5 linked regions of the Callithrix jacchus genome follow. The protein of the gene in region 5 purifies or fractionates together with the protein of the main gene of each other region. This does not show direct contact. Links are inferred from orthologs where the notes say so. Each region holds a gene or a part of one and is shown on either strand. Other genes may lie near its edges. The genes, in order: TMOD1, HOMER1, GSN, HOMER3 and DBN1.

The links.
Region 1: the proteins of DBN1 (region 5) and TMOD1 purify together in Homo sapiens (co-immunoprecipitation; 3 studies listed by BioGRID and IntAct, with this or other methods). This does not show direct contact. The link is inferred for Callithrix jacchus from reciprocal best matches to the Homo sapiens genes DBN1 and TMOD1.
Region 2: the proteins of DBN1 (region 5) and HOMER1 purify together in Homo sapiens (co-immunoprecipitation; 3 studies listed by BioGRID and IntAct, counting the BioPlex papers as one, with this or other methods). This does not show direct contact. The link is inferred for Callithrix jacchus from reciprocal best matches to the Homo sapiens genes DBN1 and HOMER1.
Region 3: the proteins of DBN1 (region 5) and GSN purify together in Homo sapiens (co-immunoprecipitation; 3 studies listed by BioGRID and IntAct, counting the BioPlex papers as one, with this or other methods). This does not show direct contact. The link is inferred for Callithrix jacchus from reciprocal best matches to the Homo sapiens genes DBN1 and GSN.
Region 4: the proteins of DBN1 (region 5) and HOMER3 purify together in Homo sapiens (co-immunoprecipitation; 3 studies listed by BioGRID and IntAct, counting the BioPlex papers as one, with this or other methods). This does not show direct contact. The link is inferred for Callithrix jacchus from reciprocal best matches to the Homo sapiens genes DBN1 and HOMER3.

Annotation. Positions count from the first base shown.
Region 1 is NC_133502.1:145,688,467-145,691,983, forward strand, and holds part of TMOD1 (tropomodulin-1), read left to right. Parts: intron 1-3,250; coding exon 3,251-3,407; intron 3,408-3,517. UniProt on the Homo sapiens protein: Blocks the elongation and depolymerization of the actin filaments at the pointed end. The Tmod/TM complex contributes to the formation of the short actin protofilament, which in turn defines the geometry of the membrane skeleton.
Region 2 is NC_133503.1:131,558,474-131,561,990, forward strand, and holds part of HOMER1 (homer protein homolog 1), read left to right. Parts: intron 1-2,406; coding exon 2,407-2,517; intron 2,518-3,130; coding exon 3,131-3,211; intron 3,212-3,517. UniProt on the Homo sapiens protein: Postsynaptic density scaffolding protein. Binds and cross-links cytoplasmic regions of GRM1, GRM5, ITPR1, DNM3, RYR1, RYR2, SHANK1 and SHANK3.
Region 3 is NC_133502.1:169,724,931-169,728,447, forward strand, and holds part of GSN (gelsolin), read left to right. Parts: intron 1-622; coding exon 623-713; intron 714-2,532; coding exon 2,533-2,703; intron 2,704-3,315; coding exon 3,316-3,490; intron 3,491-3,517. UniProt on the Homo sapiens protein: Calcium-regulated, actin-modulating protein that binds to the plus (or barbed) ends of actin monomers or filaments, preventing monomer exchange (end-blocking or capping).
Region 4 is NC_133523.1:17,630,834-17,634,867, reverse strand, and holds the start of HOMER3 (homer protein homolog 3), read left to right. Parts: upstream 1-1,220; 5' UTR 1,221-2,158; intron 2,159-3,426; 5' UTR 3,427-3,494; coding exon 3,495-3,508; intron 3,509-3,591; coding exon 3,592-3,748; intron 3,749-3,988; coding exon 3,989-4,034. UniProt on the Homo sapiens protein: Postsynaptic density scaffolding protein. Binds and cross-links cytoplasmic regions of GRM1, GRM5, ITPR1, DNM3, RYR1, RYR2, SHANK1 and SHANK3.
Region 5 is NC_133503.1:68,679,935-68,682,740, reverse strand, and holds the end of DBN1 (drebrin), read right to left. Parts: coding exon 2,697-2,806; intron 2,297-2,696; coding exon 1,644-2,296; intron 1,343-1,643; coding exon 1,240-1,342; intron 1,087-1,239; coding exon 1,016-1,086; 3' UTR 507-1,015; downstream 1-506. UniProt on the Homo sapiens protein: Actin cytoskeleton-organizing protein that plays a role in the formation of cell projections. Required for actin polymerization at immunological synapses (IS) and for the recruitment of the chemokine receptor CXCR4 to IS.

The sequences.
Region 1 (3,517 bases), on a different chromosome or scaffold from region 5:
TTTTGTTTGTCACAACTTGGGGGACAGTACTTCTGGCATCTAGGAGCTAGAGAGCAGAAGGGCTGCTAAAGAATCTCCAGTAGGTAGAGCGGCCTCCACGACAAGGAATTATCTAGCCCAGAATGTCAGTTGTGCTGAGGTTGAGAAACTCTGCTTTTACTAAATTCGTGGCTGCTACCAGATAGACTGGAAAAGAGATGAGAGTTAGCAAACCCTTCTCCCCTCAGTTACGACCCCTGGATTTCTTCTATTGCAATACTTAGCCTTTCTGGGGCCAGAACGTGCCTCAGCATCTTACTGACATCAAAACCCTTTATGGTAATGAAAATCTGTAGGCCTTCCCTGTGGGGATCCCTAAGAAGCAGGAGCACTTGCTTTCAGTGCTTAATTCATTTTATATTTGTGTGTTTTAGTTTTTTGAATTTATACTTGGATAATGCATTCCCTGTTAAACATATATATTTGGGTAACCAATCTCCTATTAACATATATTTTACCTGATTATATAACAATGGAAGTGACCATAAGTACCCATTTTTGGCTGTTCACTATGTTAGGCACTGTGCTAAGCACACTTTCTGCATTATCTCATTTAATTTTCTCAACCACTCTATGAGAGAGCAACTCTCATTACTTACATTTTACAGCCATGGAAACTGAGGCACAATGAGATTTAGGGGACTTGCCCAAGATTGTGCAGTTGAATCATTATTACTCCAAGTCAGGTCTGAAGCCTGATGGGTCAACTATGAGGTGCAGGCATGCCACAATGAGTTCGGATTATCCATTATGGGTAGTCACACATTGACGTTTGCAGAGCAATGAGGTATTCTCTCACTCTCTTGCATCGCAGTAAGCTCCCTGCCATGGAAGAGAAGGAGTAGGCAGATACAGCTAGCTATAGGAAGTCCCATCTAACCTGGGATATGCCCACAGAAGCATGGCTCACCTGGGAGCATCACCTATCCTGACTATCATGGTGGACAATATCTGAGTGCTTAAGGAAAACTGGGATGTGTGTAGATCACTTATGTTCCGGAAACTTCCAACCCCAAGTCAGTCAGGCCTTGGTTTTCTACCGGCTGTCCTCTCATAAAAAGCTTCAACTCCTAGTGTCTGTTTTGATCTGTGGCCTAAAGCTATCTGTAAGCACACCAGCACCACTTGCCAGGCCTGTTATCTGTCCATCCAGGCTCTGTGCTAGGTGGGTCCTGCTCACTTACAGCCCTCTCAGAGGCAGGGTCACAGCCCAGTCTCCTGACCTTACAGCCACGACTCTTACTGAAACAGCATTGTGGTGTTAAAAGCATAAGCATCATGTGGTGGCTCATGCCTATAATACTAACACTTTGGGATGCTGAGTTGGGTGGATCACTTGAGGTTGGGAGTTCGAGACCAGCGTGACCAACATGGAGAAACCTGTCTCTACTAAAAATACAAAATTAGCCAGGTGTGGTGGCGCATGCCTGTAATACCAGCTAGTCGGGAGGCTGAGGCAGGAGAATCACTTGAACCTGGGAGGCAGAAGTTGTGGTGAACTGAGATCACACCACTGCACTCCAGCCTGGGCAACAAGAGTGAAACTCTGCCTCAAAAAAGAAAAAAAAAAAAAAAGATAGTACATCTTTTAAAACATGATGCATTAAACAGTAGTATTCCCTCCCAGGCTGTATCCCTCTATGTGCCAGGCATATGTTGATCTTCATATGCCTGATAACAGTCCCCTTACAGAGGGGGCTTTCAGAAAAGGATTTGGAGTTTGTAAGAGTGACTGAAGATATGCATTTTGATGGTACAAAGATTGGAGGTGGGGTCGGGCACAGTAATCCCAGCAGTTTGGGAGGCTGAGGTGGGCAGATCACCTGAGGTCAGAAGTTCAAGATCAGCCTGGGCAATATGGTAAAACCCTGACTCTACTAAAAATACAAAAAAATTATCTGGGTGTGGTGGCGGGCACCTGTAATCCCAGCTACTTGGGAGGTTGAGGCAGGAGAATCGCTTGAACCCAAGAGGCAGAAGCTGCAGTGAGCAGAGATCACACCACTGCACTCCAGCCTGGGTGCAACAGAGGGAGACGATCTTCAACTTAGCCAGTTTGAGGGTGCATATCTTTGGGGTGATGTCCTTTCCATACCAGCCTCCCATGTATCATCTGCTAGCTCTGCGAATGCAGAAAGAGACAGGGAGCATGCAGCAATTAGAAATGAAGATCTTCCTCCTCCCCTAAATCTGAAGAAGAACGCTGGTTTTTGTTCTAGACCTGTCCTGAAACTCCTCGGGCAAATCTTTCCTTGCTCCAGGCCTCAGTTTCCCCTGATGGAGAGTGTATGCACTAGATGATCTCTGAGCATCCTTGCAGCTATAGGGTGATAGCTTGTACCTTTGACTCCCTAAGGTACGGGGGGCTGAGTTAAAGTGAAGCCGGTGAGGGTAACTCCAATCCCCCCTAATTAGGAATCTGCTTTAGTAGTAAGCCCTCACCTAGAAGCCTGCTTATGTTTGAAGAAGAAAAGAGAACAGTTGGTTGATGTTATGTTTCTTGAGATACCCATCTCCAGGGGCGACATTCAAAATATTTAACCACCAGTGTGTCATGAGCACGAACCCATCAGGAGGTGAGAAGGCAGTGAGAGGTAGAGCCAGCAGGGGCTGTGCCCACAGAGCATGCCCCGCCCACCTCTTAGCTCTGCAGGGCTCTGCTCACCTCACTGCTTTCCTGGGCCTTTCTCCAGCTTTTTTTTTTTTTTTTTTTTTTTTTGTCTGCCTTTTCCTGCCTGATTCTCCATCCAGGGCCCCAAGTCAACCCCCTTTGGCTGCTTCTCTTTCCAACCACTTGATACTCAACTCCTGTAAATATCTTTATGCATCCAAACAACAACTCAGTCATATTCATCCCCCAACAGATGCTCTTTCAGTGTCCTCTGTGCTCAGGCTGGAGTTGGCTGCCTTGACCCCTCACCTCCTCGTCTTCAAAAATGTTAGAGGCAGGGACATGCTGGAGGATTGAGAAACCTGAGTCTTAGCCTCTCTCTGCTCCTCATCTGCCTTTGACCTTGGGCAAGCCCCTGCCCCTCCTGGGGTTTCAGATTCCTTACATGTAAAACGAGGGACACCATGGATTCCATGAGCTCTGAGGTCCCTGCTGTTTGATGATGAGTTTCTGGAGAAGTGCAAGTCTTCAGCAGCTGATCACTCTCTCTTTCTCTCTCTCTCTTTCTCTCTCTCCTGCCCCCCACAACCTCCACTGTAGAATGCATTGCTGCCTGCAGGCCTGAGGCAAAAGGATCAGACCACCAAGGCGCCCACGGGCCCCTTTAAAAGAGAGGAGCTCTTGGATCACTTGGAAAAGCAAGCAAAGGAGTTTAAGGACCGAGAAGATCTGGTCCCCTACACAGGGGAAAAACGAGGTACTGAACAATGTTGCTGTTATGAATATACCACTCGCCATGCATCATTGAGTGCCAACTGTATACCAGGCCCTGCCAGGCTCAGTACTGGGCCAAATGTGACTGGGCCT
Region 2 (3,517 bases), about 63 Mb from region 5:
GACATTGTAAATGAGGTGTTGTAGAGACCACAGATTTTGTTATTTTTGAAAAGTATTGAGTTTTTGTTTCAGGAGGCAGTTAAATTATTTGGGGATTATCTTGAATTTATGGAGTTGTGTATTTATGCTTTGTTAGAATTCATTTATTTCCATTTTGCTGTAACCCTAGGGTAAATCGCTTTGTCCTAGGAAATCTTTCTCTCTAAGACATAACCCTTCTGAGGTTTCAATGAAAAGCTTGAGCTATTTACCAAGACCCTATAGTTTAGAGGGGACTAGCAGAACTTCAAACTGTCCTCTCTGTTGAGCACCATCACAGTTTAGGTCTTTCAGCCTTCTAGCTCTTTTCCTACTCCTAGTTGTTCCAGGTCTTCTGCGGAGTCCTAAAATTCTCAGGCTCCTCAGAGAAATAAGAGTATGGATTTCTGCTTGAGTTCAGTCAAGCAGTGCAGCCAGACTGCAGAGTGCCATCAGGCAAAAAGATGTTGAAATGTGTATTTCACCCGAAGTGACTGCTTTCTTGCAGTCTTTTGCCCAATTTGGTTATTCACCAGGGCCTTCAAACAGTTGATTTTTATATTTTGCCCACAGTTTGCAATAGTTATCTATAGGAAAGTTACTCCAATAAAAACTATGTCATCATTTATCAGAATTGGAACTCCCCTTAAGGAATTTATTATATAATGAGACAAAGAAAACAAATACATATTAAGCAATAAGAGAAATAATTCCAAGATTTTTTTAGCAGCTGCTTGGTGGTGTGAACCAGAGGAGAGCCTTGAAGGCTTGAGCAGATAAGAATGGCTTTCTGGAGAAAGTACCTGCTGAGCTAAGAGTTAAGGGTTTGGTTAGGTCCGAATGGTTTTCAGAGGCAAAAGAGGACATTCTAGTTAAATCAACAAGATGGGAATGAATATCGCTTGTTCTTAGGACAAGGAGATTTGCCTGCTTTCAGTTGGAAGTACTCGCTGAATGTCTTAGGCAGTATGGGTGGTTGAGAAGGTTGGGGCCAATATACAAAGGATCTGAATGTTTAGATCTGACACTAAAAAAGATGAGCTGCTGAAAGTCTTTGAATGGGGGACTCACAGGATCAAAGATGAATCTGTTAGCAGTTTGAAGAATGGACAAAAATAAGAAAAGGTTATAATTAAGTCCACTGGGAGGCTGTTGGTTTTGTTCAGGCCTGGGCGTTAAGGGTTTGTAACAAGACTATTAGTTAAAAACCCTTGAGAAGAAAGGAAGAAAATTATATCACACCTGTTATCCCAGCACTTTGAGAGGCTGAGGTGGGTGGATCACAAGGTCAAGAGATTGAGACCATGCTGGCCAACATGGTGAAACACCATCTCTACTAAAAATACACAAAAATTTGTTGGATGTGGCGGCATGCACCTGTAGTCCCAGCTACTCGGGAGGCTGAGGCAGGGGCAGGAGAATTGCTTGAACCTAGGAGGCGGAGGTTGCAGTGAGCCAAGATGGTGCCACTGCAATCCAGCCTGGTGACAGAGCAAGGCTGTCTCAAAAAAAAAAAAGAGAGTAACAGAATGTAGAGAAAGAGACAGAGTAACAGAATGTAGAGGGTGATTTGGAAAATGCCAGGGAAAGGGATTTACTCTGTTTCATTAATAGTGTAGAATTTACTGTCTTCTAGTAAACCAAAATTTTGTGAGCACATGATATGTGTAAAGAGCTGTGATAGGGTGTGTGTGCATGTGTGTGTGTGTGTGTGTGTTGTGTATTTATGTTGACTTCTATTATTGATTCTCATTTTGGATGGTATAACTTTAAAGACTGTGCCCCTCTCTGTTCTCTCAAAAAATACCAAGTGCTCATTAAAAGTTACATTACTCTTTAAGCATTCAGTAAATTCTTACTGACTAACAAAATATTATCTTACCCATAAGAGACACTATAGATGTAAAGTCATTCTAGTATCTAATGATTTAAGTTGTATTTTAAGCCTATTTTTTCTTCCAGATTCTCTTACATGTTGGAAATGTATTTGAAAAAATTCTCACTTCTACAAGGCCAGTTTTCAGAACCTGTATTGAATTTGGAGGCTACAGATGGAGGACAGATGGCCATATCTGATCTTGAATATATTTTTGGAAGAAATTTTTAAAGAAGACTTTTATTATAGGAATTCTCTACTGTCATTAATCACTTAAGTTTTTCTAACCTTTCCATGACCAAGCCATGTAAATAATTATTTTCTTTGGTCTTTTACCCTTTCCTAGTTTTACATCTTTGAAGAATCTATTCACTCTACCTTGAGTGTTTTCTTAGTACTTCTCAAAATCAATTTTTATGTATTTATTCAGAATATACTATTCATTGGGACTTATATCTTTAGCAAGAAACTCTTTAAAGTTGAAATTAATCTGTGTTCTTATTTAATTTTAGGTGACTGAACTGGAATGTGTTAGTAGCCAAGCAAATGCAGTACATACTCATAAGTCAGAATTAAATCAGACAATACAAGAACTGGAAGAGACACTGAAAGAGAAGGAAGAGGTATTTGCTACTTTTTACTCATCTGTAATCTAGCTAATGTGTGTACAAAGTATTAGATTCTATGTCAAATTTAAGGGTATTTTATGGAATAAAGTAAAGTTGTAACCTTGTTTTAGGATTAAGTTTTTTCTTGAATGATATTAAGCTTGTTTTTATATTTTCCCTTTCCTTATTTCTGTTGTGAACTGTGGTGAGGCAATCAGACGGAGATACCACCTATTGCCTTCTAGATGAGAGTTGCATTTATACAGTCAACAGAAAACTATTAGAGGTTAAATGGATTTTAAAAGCTGTTGCTTTTTCTGGGTTCCAGTCAAAACTTTAATATCTTAGGAAAGAATCATATCCACAAAGCTTTAAAGCAACATTAAAATTTTCAGGTTGTTATTTCTAAGCAGTGCTGTACCAGTTAGACTTGTTGCTGTTACTTAAGATTATTCTGTTCTAGACAACGTACTTATAAAGATGAATTCATCCCTTTAAAAGTCAATATAAAGGAATGTTTTTTAAATCATCTTTTTCTAAGAACTGGAACAATAATTTCAGGGAAAAATAAGACCTTCCCTTTCCTTGATACAGCTTAAATGCTAAGATGTTGCTCTGCCTTTTCTAGGAGATAGAAAGATTAAAACAAGAAATTGATAATGCCAGAGAACTACAAGAACAGAGGGACTCTTTGACTCAGAAACTACAGGTGAGCTGTCGTAAAAATTTTTATTCATTTCTGCATAGAAAGGCATCTTTTTTTTTTACATAGCAGTGACTTTTTTTCTGATATTTCATTTTGCAGGTTTTGGTCATTTTTCTTTTCCAGGACTTCTGATTCATGCCTGTCATCTTTGGTTTTTGAAAAGTTACTTGGTAACTTTATCTAGATAGCTTATAATCACCATAGATGGTCATTTATAAATTATAAATTATTTAGTAAATTCTTTTGGAAATTTCTACTTTTAATTAAAAAAAATATACCCTGGGGTTGGGCATGGTGGCTCATGCTTGT
Region 3 (3,517 bases), on a different chromosome or scaffold from region 5:
ACTTTTAAAAAAATTAGCTGCATCACACATTGATATGTCAGATTTTGTTTGCTTATGTGATGACATATGTTGGTTATGGAAACGTAGAAATATGCAAAGAGGTGGGATAGAAAGGCAAAATCCCCCTAAAACTTCCCTCTAAGGGCAATCGCCATGGACCTTTTGCTGAACATCTGTGCAGACCTCTCTGCACGTGTTCACGGGAGGCTTAATCGTTGACATCTTTTCCCATAAATGGGCTCACGTGACACTTGCTGTTCTGTGACCTGGTTTTCCACCCAGAGAAATGTCCTGGCCACTTCCCTGCATCTCAAATTTGAGTCTCAGAGCACCTTCTCTGTAGCTGTTCAGTATGGAATGACCCAGCCAGTCTCCTGTGGGGCACATTTAGGATAAGGAAATTCATGCGTTGCACTCAGATCTCTGTAAGCAGGCAAGGTGCTTGGCTGAGAGTGGAAGTGTTGTTGGTGTGGTTCCTGGCTCTTGTTGCTCTGAGAGGGTCCCCTTCTCTCTCTGTTTCTTTACTGGTAACGGGGTGATTTGTATGTTTCTCAGACTCAGGGCAAGGGAGAGGCTCAGGGCTCTGTGTGCACCTTGGTGCTGAATCTCACTTCCCCTTTAGGCAGGGTGCCCAGTCTACACAGGATGAAGTCGCTGCATCTGCCATTCTGACTGCTCAGCTGGATGAGGAGCTGGGAGGTACCCCTGTCCAGGTGAGCCCAGCCCACCAGCTTTCTGGGCTGCAGCCTGAGCCTTGTCTATCTGTTACTCATCTGTCTGACTCTCAACCATCTGTTCGTTTGTCCATCCATCCATCCATCCATCCATCCATACATCCATGGTACAGATATTTATTTAGGGCTTGGATGTGTTCCACACTGCATCTGTAGCCATGGACACGCAGACACTGCCCTGCCCTAATGGGCTTTGCTGTCTTGGGTGGTAGTAGACATTCAACACACATGTACACTAATGGCTATGACAGATGAAGCGAGTGAAAATGATAAGACCTTGGGGAGACAGATGTGGGAGAGGCAACATGGCTAAGCACGGATGTGGAGCCAGCACGCTTGGGTTTGAATCCTGTTCTTACCTCTGGGCAACTTTGGGCAAGTCACTTAGCCCCTCTGTGCCTCTGCATCCTCAAAATAGGGGTAATAACAGTACCATCCCACAGGATTGCTGTGAGGATTAAGTTAACATTTGTAAAACATTTAGAGCCATGCCTGTCATATAATAAGTTCCTCCCTTATACACATGTGTTAAGTATAAGGGCATAAATCCCAGGTAGGATCCTATTGGATTAGAAAAGCCCACTCCTGTCCCAAGAGGGAACTGTTCAATGGGGGCCTAATGCATGTGTAGGAGTTGGCCAGGCAGAGTGAAGGAAAGTACGTTCCAGCTAAAAGGTGGTGCATACACAAAGGCCCTGGAGTGGGCGGGAGCATTGGGTGTTAAAGTGAAGGGAAGGTGCCATGATTTGAGGCTGGACAGGTGCTCAGAGGGCCCAGACCACCAGAGGCCACGGTGACGATGTTGACCTTGATGCTCAGAATAACAGGAAGTTGCTGAATGATAAGTCTGCGGTGTGGGGATTTCTGGTTTTAAAAGTCGCTCTGGCTAGCGGGGGCGCTGGAGGGCAGCAGAGCTGGTTTGTGGAGATGTGGGGGAAGCAGACAACAATTGTCTTCCTCCATCCTATGCGGGGGGTGCGCAGGGCTCTAGACTTGGATCAGGGCTTCATGCCCTGACCTTTGTCTATGATAGTCTGGGTGCTGAGCACTAAATGAGACGATGACCATCGTAGCTCAGTGCATCCTCACGATGGCCTTGGGAGTAGCATCCTTGGCTGCATTTTACAGAGGAGGAACCCAAGAGGTTGAGATATGTGCCCAAGTTCTCACCATCAGGGTGGAGTTGGGTCATGGTGGGAAGCAACTGCCATGCACCAGACACGCACGTGTGGTTTTCTTCTGGACGTAGTTAGTCAGGGCTGCGGTAAGGTGGCACACATGGCTGGGGATGGGTAGCACTTGTGAGGATGTACATCTTCCCCGCCTCACTCCCACCTCCCAGCCCCTGACTGCTGCCTGCATCTGGGTTGCACTGGCTGTCAGGAGGGCGTTTTCCAGATCTGGAATGCTCTGTTCTTACCACTCCACTGGCAGTCATTGGCCAGGCCTGACGTCACCATTCTGGAAGAATGTCCACCAGCAATCCCTGTGCTTCTATTTAAGGGAATATTTGCAGACATGGGCTCTCCTGGTTCTTGGACCAGACTGAGGGTCAGCAAGGCACATCCTCATGGAGATGGAGAGCAGCCACAGCAGCAGTGCCCTGGGGACCGCAGGCGATAGTGTTGTCTCCACCCTTTTTGGAATTTTGTGTCTTGGCCTGTGTGTTGTAGGGTCACACTCACTGCCACACACAGACATAAGCATGATGGCTTTGTCTGAAGGGGTGGGCCCAGTGTGACATAGAAGGACTGAGTCCTGCCCCCAAGGTCCCCTCACTCTCCTGTCTCTCTGCCAGAGCCGTGTGGTCCAAGGCAAGGAGCCCGCCCACCTCATGAGCCTGTTTGGTGGGAAGCCCATGATCATCTACAAGGGTGGCACCTCCCGGGAGGGCGGGCAGACAGCCCCTGCCAGCACCCGCCTCTTCCAAGTCCGTGCCAACAGCGCTGGAGCCACCCGGGCTGTCGAGGTAATTCCCAGGTCCTGGACCACAGAAAGGATTGGCCTCCCTGAAACCTCCCAGGCTCAATGGGCAGATGTCCAGGCACAGGATGGGGTGGGGTGGGAGAGGGAGTAAGAAGCAGCTTTTTGTACCTTCCTGCCCTGGCCGCGGGGTGATCTGTCTCAGACTTCCTCCTGTTTCAAGGATGTCCTGTGTCCCTGGCACACTGCATAGTGGACAGCTCACTACCTATCGTTCTGTACAATCAGGACACCATTCCTGATTATATTCCCGTTGGCTACTATCCCTTTCGGGAGGAAGGCACAGATCTGGACGTGATTCCCAGGATGGTCTGGGGAGCCTAGAGGGGAATGGGACTCTCACCTTCTTTGTTCTGGGTGCTCAACTTCTGTTAATGCAGCCCTGAATTCTAGAATCATCTTGGCTAGTCACAGTGCATTAGTGACTCATGGGAGTCAACCAAGGCCGTCAGAATCCAAAGCCTGTGCCCTTAGCTCTGATGGGCTGTGTTCCTCCAAGTCCCCTCCTGAGAGCTCATCCTGTTGCAGGGTCAGCCGGGCTGGAGGGGGCTGAGGGCTTTTTGTCTGGCTCCTGATTAACCAAGCTCTACCCTCCCAGGTATTGCCTAAGGCTGGGGCACTGAACTCCAACGATGCCTTTGTCCTGAAAACCCCCTCAGCTGCATACCTGTGGGTGGGTACAGGAGCCAGTGAGGCGGAGAAGACAGGGGCCCAGGAGCTGCTCAGGGTGCTGCGGGCTCAACCTGTGCAGGTGACAGAAGGCAGTGAGCCAGGTAGGAGCCGGGATGCAGCTGTCACAT
Region 4 (4,034 bases), on a different chromosome or scaffold from region 5:
GGCGGATCACCTGAAGTCAGGAGTTCAAGACCAGCCTGACCAACATGGTGAAACCCCGTCTTTAAAAATAAATAAATAATTAATTAAAAAAGAAAGAAAAGAAAAAGAGAGAGAGGGAGGGAGGGAGGGAAAGAAAGGAAAAAAGAGAGAGAGAGAAAGGAAGGAATGAAGGAAGAAAGAGAAAGAAAGAAAGAGACTCAAATGCAAGGCTCAGAGCTGTAGGGCGCCACAGCCCTTGGTTCCAGGGAGCTGCAGGGACTTTGCCCACAAACCGACGGTAATGTGCGGTTTTGGAGAAGGTGCCAGAGATAGGGCAGCACCAGGATTGACAAGTTCCACCCATGGGCTTGGGGCTGGGGAGATGGATCCCACCTCAGCTCTGGAAGGATGCTTTCCTGGCAAGTGTGGGAAGGGGATGCTCCTTGTGACCAGAGGTGACAAAGGGGACACACCCATGCGTTGGAGACATTCCCTAAGCCTTTGGATCTTGGGACCCACAAACTAGCAATGATAACCTTAATCCAACCATCATGGGCATTTTACCATTGTCTTGGGAAGGACAGAGGTGGACAGATGTCCCTGCCCAGGGATGGAGCTGGCAGAACAGACAGGAAGGCTTCTCTCTCTTTGTCTTGCTTCCTGTTCCCTCCCGAAGCCGATCTCTTCCGTTTCCTGGCAACACCCATTGAGCACCTACTGTATGCAAACAGTACATACAGTGCATACAGTAGGTGCTCAATGGGTGTTGCCAGGAAACGAGAGCCCCGTGGCCAGAAGGGACCCACCGCCCCCTCTGCAACCTCACTGAACCACCCACGTCAGCCCGGGAGGGACCTGACCTTCCTCATGGGCCCAAAGTCATGACCTCAGGTAGTGGGGACAGAGGCAGCTGTCCCCTGAGACGTGACAGGAGGGTGAGGTCACATCGCCGTCCCTGCAACTGTATCTCTACATCTGCTTCCTGTCTCTTTGCCTGTCTCCGCCGTGTCTCTTTCTGGGTCTCTTTCTCATCCCAGATGTCCCTCTCCTCTGTCTCTCTGTCCCCACCCTCTGTTCCCAGTCCCGAACCCCCGCAACGCCCCAGTCCCCCTCCACCGCCCTTAGCCCCCTCCCCCAATCCCCCGCCCCTCCCCCCACCTGGCCCGGTGCAAAAAGCCGGCAGGGGGCGCAGCGGGGCGGCCTCGGCGGCCCCGGGAGGCGGGGCGGGCGGCGGCCGCGTCGGGACCCGCCGCGATGGGACCGGAGGCGGCGCGGGCGGCGGCGGCGGCGCAGACAAAGACGCGGGCGGCGCGGAGGGCGGCGCGGAGGGCGCGGGCCCGGGAGCCAGGGAGCGAGCGGGGCGCCCGGCTGCGCGGAGTCAGCGCCGCGGGGGCCGCACCCGACTTGCGACCGAACACTCGCTGGGCGCCGACCCGGCAGGGTGAGCCCGGCCGGCCGAGACTGCGCCGCGAGCGCGGGGGCCTCGAAGTCGCGGGGCCAAGGGAAGGGCGCGGGGGGTCCCCAGAAGTTCCGGACCTGGGGACTGGGAGCGGCGCGAGGGGCCCCCAAGTTCCAGGGCCGGAGGGAGCGCAGGGGTCCCGAAGTTCTGGAGTCGGGGTCGGTGAGGGGACCGCGCGGGAGGTTCCCAAAGTTCTGGACCCGGCGTTGGAGGAGGCTGCGAAGGAGTCCCCAAAGTTTCGGACCTGGGGTGGGAGCCAGGCGCGGGAGGGGCCCCGACGTCCGGGACCAGGGACTGGAAGGGTGGCAGGGGGTCCACCTCGAAGTTTAGGAGTCTGGGACAACGAGGGGGTCCCCAAAGTTCCGGACCGGGTTAGAGGGGGCGGCACGGAGGGCAGTCCCCGGAGTTCCGGACCTGGGGTTGGAGGAGGCAGAAGAGGTATCCCCGAAGTTCTGTACCCAGCGACGGGGCTGTCGCGGGAATCTCGGAAGTTCCAGGGTCAGGGCGCGCGTCCCGGAGTTGGGTCGCGCACTGGGTGTCCTCCCGCCTCGGGTGGGGACTGGATCCTGAATGAATATTGGCCCCCTCCCCGCCTCCGGAGTGGGGTGCATGGGACGGGGCCTCACCCACCGGCCAGATTGGGGATCCCGGGCACCGGGCGGTGTCGGACCCCCCTTCGGGAGCCCCGTGGCCGGCGGCATCCGAGCGCATGACTAGTTGGTGAGTAACTTTCCCCAAACGCTGCAAGTCGCAGCAGGAGCGGCCGGACCGGAAGGGCCTGGGTTCCGGGGACCCCTGCGTCCCCCAACTCCCACCTGGCGCAGGACCTACCTCCGGTCCAGGCCAGAGCTCCCGCCCCACCCCCACTCAGGGGCTCCAGTTTCAGACCCTGTGACCGGCGCAGCAGCTGCCCAGGACAGGATGGGGGGGCATACCCCCTTTGACCATAGAGGCTGCTGGGCTGGGGCCTCCCCGCCTATCTTCCCCCTCCCCCAAATCCTTCCTTGGTCCCCTGCACATCCGGGTGGCTGGATGGACCAATGGGGAGGTTGGGGAGCCCTGTTCTCCCAGTGGTGGCATTGGGATTGGCATTCTGCTCTGCTCCCTGTGATGGGCACTGGGATTGGCTGTTTGGCTACATCTTGTCTTTTTAACTTGGCTGGGGGCTGCCTGGGGATTTGGAGTCTGGGCTGCCAGGTGTGCCTCTAGCCTAGGGTGGGAGCTGGGGGGGTCCCTCTGCAGGGCGCAGTGGGGAACTGGTCTCCCAGTACTACACACCTCTCAATGCCCCATTTTTGATGGAGAACCTCTCTCTGGCCGGTCATGGGTGAATGGAAAGAACTCAGCAGATATGTGGCCTTCACAGCTCAGCCCAGGATGGAGGGGGCTTCACGGGGCGAGGTGGGGGGTGCCGTAACTAGGACGATGAGAGATTTACATCTGAATGTCAACAGCAGCCACCTGGCTCCTCTCAGAGGGCCATCTCCTGTACAGGGTGTGGTGAGGGCTTCCCCCAGACAAAGAAAGATGGGGTCCACTTGCTCTGAGTGATCTATAATGATAATCTGGCCTTTTCATTTCTTTCTATCATTTCTTTGTTTTGTGGAGACAGGGTCTTGCTCTCTTGCCCAGGCTGGAGTGCAGTGGTGCTATCATGGCTCACTGCACTGCGGCCTTGACCTCCTGGGCTCAAGCGATCCTCCCACCTCAGCCTCCCCAGTAGCTGGGACCACAGGCACATGCCACCACACCTGGCTAATTGTTTAAATTTTGGGTAGGGGTGGGGTCTCACCATGATGCTCAGGCTGGTCTCGAACTCCTGGGCTCAAATGATCCTCCTGACTCAGCCTCCCAAAGCACACCCAGTGCTTTGGGCCTCTCTTGCCTTTTTGATGGAAAGTTCTGTGATAATGGGTCCTGAGCTGGAACCTGCTTGGCTTCCCTCAACCTGGCCTGAGGGACACTCATAGTCCCTCCTCTCTCCCTAGGGGCCAAACCAGCGGCTCCTGCCACCTCTCTGGCTGCCCCCTAGAGCCTGCCCAGCCCCGCCTGACCAATGTCCACAGCCAGGTGAGCTCCCACCTCCCCAGCCTGGACCTGAGCTTTCTAAGGGGGCATGTCCGGCCCCTACTGATCACCCTCTCCCCACACAGGGAGCAGCCAATCTTCAGTACACGGGCGCACGTGTTCCAAATTGACCCGGCCACCAAGCGAAACTGGATCCCGGCGGGCAAGCATGCACTCACGGTCTCCTATTTCTACGATGCCACCCGAAATGTCTACCGCATCATCAGCATTGGGGGCGCCAAGGTCCGGGTGGGGTCTAGGTGGGGCAGAGGCACCAGGGGTCCTGGTGACACGCGTGGGTCTGGTGGCTGGCTTGCTGTGTGCCCAAGGGATGGGAAACTCTGAGCCTTCCGGGGCCCTAGTCTGTCCCCTGAAATGGCTCAGAGTAAAGACTTTCCAGAGGCTAATACAAGGTGATACCTGGGGGTTTCATGTCTCGTACTATCCGTCCCATCAACCTTGAACTTTGTCCCCCAACCCCAGGCAATCATCAACAGCACTGTCACTCCAAACATGACCTTTACCAAAA
Region 5 (2,806 bases):
ATCAACCTTCCTCGGGCGGTTCTAGGTTCTAGGCGGCTTCACCTGGAAGCCTCAGCCCCCCACCCAGTGTCTGACGGGCCTTGGAATTAGGGTGAAGGCGCCCCCTGGTAGCAGGGAGGTGCTGTGGCCTCGGAGGTGGGAGGAGTTGGGAACCTGGGTTAGGGCAGGCGGCAGCCCAAAGGGATCTGGATTTCTTTATTAACAGACATGAGCACGACCCGTTACAGAAGTTTGTGCTTTCCAAAAAAAAAAAAAAGAAAAAAGAAAAAAAAAAAAAAAACAGTTACTGAACGTGAAAAAGGAACCCAAGCAAAGAGGAAGGAGTTTGGGAGGGGCCACCCAAGCCCCTGGGCCCCATCCATAGCCCTGACCTGAACCGCGCCTAGGGCCTCCAGCCTGGGACCTGCCCGGCAGGAGAGGGGGGTGGGTAGCCAAGGGGACCCAGCTGGGCCTGCTACTTCCTTTGGACCAGACAGGGAGAGGTCAAAAGAAGGGTGGGGAGGGGGTCCCAGGGAGCCAGAGCCCACGAGCCATTTATTGCCATGTTTTAAAATTCGTGCAAAATATCTGAAGCCCTGGACAGAGAATACAAAGTGATATTTTTCCAAGAAACATAAAACTAGGAAAAGAGGTGGAGAACATTTTCCCACCAGAGCTCCCCCCACGCCAGGCCCCAAGCAGGGTGAGGCCTCCACCCCGGCCAGCTGAGCAGGGAGGACTAAAACAGCTACAATCTGGACCAGGGAAGGAGAAGTAGAATTTGCAACAGCGTCTCAACTACCAACGGGAGGAAAACCAGTCAACTGTACAAGTCTCCTATCAACTTTAAAAAAAAGAGAAAAGCTGTAAAAGTCAGGCCCTGTGGGTAGGGAAGCGGCCAAGTCCCCAGCCAGGGCCGGAATCCAGAGTGGGTGCCAGGCGGAGCTGCTGCGAATGCAGGCACGGCGGGCCGTCTGGCCAGAGGCCGATGCAGGTGGACGGCCTTGGCAAGGGCAGCCTAGGGCTGGCGCCACTGCTAATCACCACCCTCGAAGCCCTCCTCCTCTTCTGGAACTGGGTCTGCATCCCAGCAGGTGATGTCGATTTCTATGGCATTAGAAGATAAGATGAGTTAGGGACCTAGCCGACCCATGCTTGTGTCCCCAGCCTCTATGGGTGGTGGGTAGTGGTGGGATGGCTGCCCACATTCAAACCCAGCCTCCCCACCGAAATTCTTCCCATCATCCGCCCCATTACTACCTGGAGGCTTGTTGTAGAACACAGGAGGCAGAGCCTTGGCACAGAGCTCTTCCGATTGGGCAAACTCCTCCTCCTGTGATTGACTGAAGTACCCCTCACTGGCCTGCAGGGGAAAGCATCAGGTCACTTGGCCCCAGCCAGCAGGACTGGGGCTGACCTATCAGGCCTAAGCCCGTTTCCCCAGCAACCAATGATTCCATCAGTGGTTGCCGGGGAAACACAGATGCCTGCCTTGGGAACAAAAGCAGAGCTAGCCCAGGAAGGGCAGGTGGAATGGACTTCCCCTCCAATAATGTGGGTCACACAGAAAGGGGATACCGGTGCAAGCCTGAGCAATGCAGGATCAGTGCCCTGCTCAGCCTGGACTCACTCTCATCCCTCCCACCAGGCAGCCCCTGCTGCACCTGGGTCCCCTCCTTCTGAGTGGTCTCGCCATTGGTCAGCAGGTGGGGCTCTGGCTCCTGCTCTTGCTCTTGTTCCAGCTCCTCAAGGGCCGAGGGCAGAGTCGGGGCCTGGGGGACGGCCAGGGGCTCCCCTTCTACTTCCTCTGGGTCACAGAAGGTGGCTGGCGGCTCAGGCAGCTCATCAAAGTTGAGAAGGGTGGAACAGCTTTCGCCTGCTGGCAGCAGTGACTCCGGAGCCACCTCATCCAGCAGGGGCACCTCTGCCAGGGTGACCTCAGTACCTGAGGGTGGTGTGGGGGCCCTGGGCTCACCCTGGAGTGAGCCCCCTTCCCCATTGCCAGGCCATAGGTCAATGAGGCTGGTGGTGGCAAGGGGTACATTGTTGGCAACAGTGGTGTCAGCAGTGGCAGTGTCGGTTTTGATGGCGTCAGCTGCATCATGGGCCTCAGCGGTGTCAGCTGTGGCAGGCTCCACAGGGGCAGCTAGGACAGCCTGCTCTGCAGACTCCATGAACATCAAGTCCTCTGCAGGGCTGCCTGGCCCCTGGGGAGGCACCTGTGCCTTGGGGGGCTCCTCCATGGGGCCGGCCCAGGCCTGAGGGTCTGCTGCTCTGGTCTCCTCACTGTCCAGGCTGGGGCTGGGCTCCTGGGTCTCTGTCACAGCACAGGCAGAGGAGTTATGCAATGGGCTCCCTTGAGGGAGGATGGAGACCCTGCCCCATGGACAGTGGTGGTGGTTGTCCAACAATGTGAGGAGGGAGCCAGGGACTTCCATGCAGGTGTCCCACTGCCCCCTTACCCAGTGACCCCAGTGACTTTAAGCCCCTTGGCAGCTCCAGGAGGAAGGCCTGATTCCCACTTAAGAAGTCGGGTGCTGAGCTTTAGAGAGGTCTGACTGCACACCAGGGCTCCTCCCCACACAGCCGCCTCCAGGGCAGTGCAGTCTTAGTGATGGGTGTCCCAGATCCCTGGAGAATGGTTACCATGGCAACCTGGGGCTCTCAGCCAGGGAATGATGATGGGAGCCCTGGTGCAGGTAGGGTCCCTCTCTCACCTTGGGCTGGTGTGGGTGGTGGTGGCAGTGGTGGAGGCTGTGAGGATGTGACCTCATCCAGGGCCCTCTCAATCTGCTCAGCAACAGGGGTGGAGGCGGTGCTGGAGTCA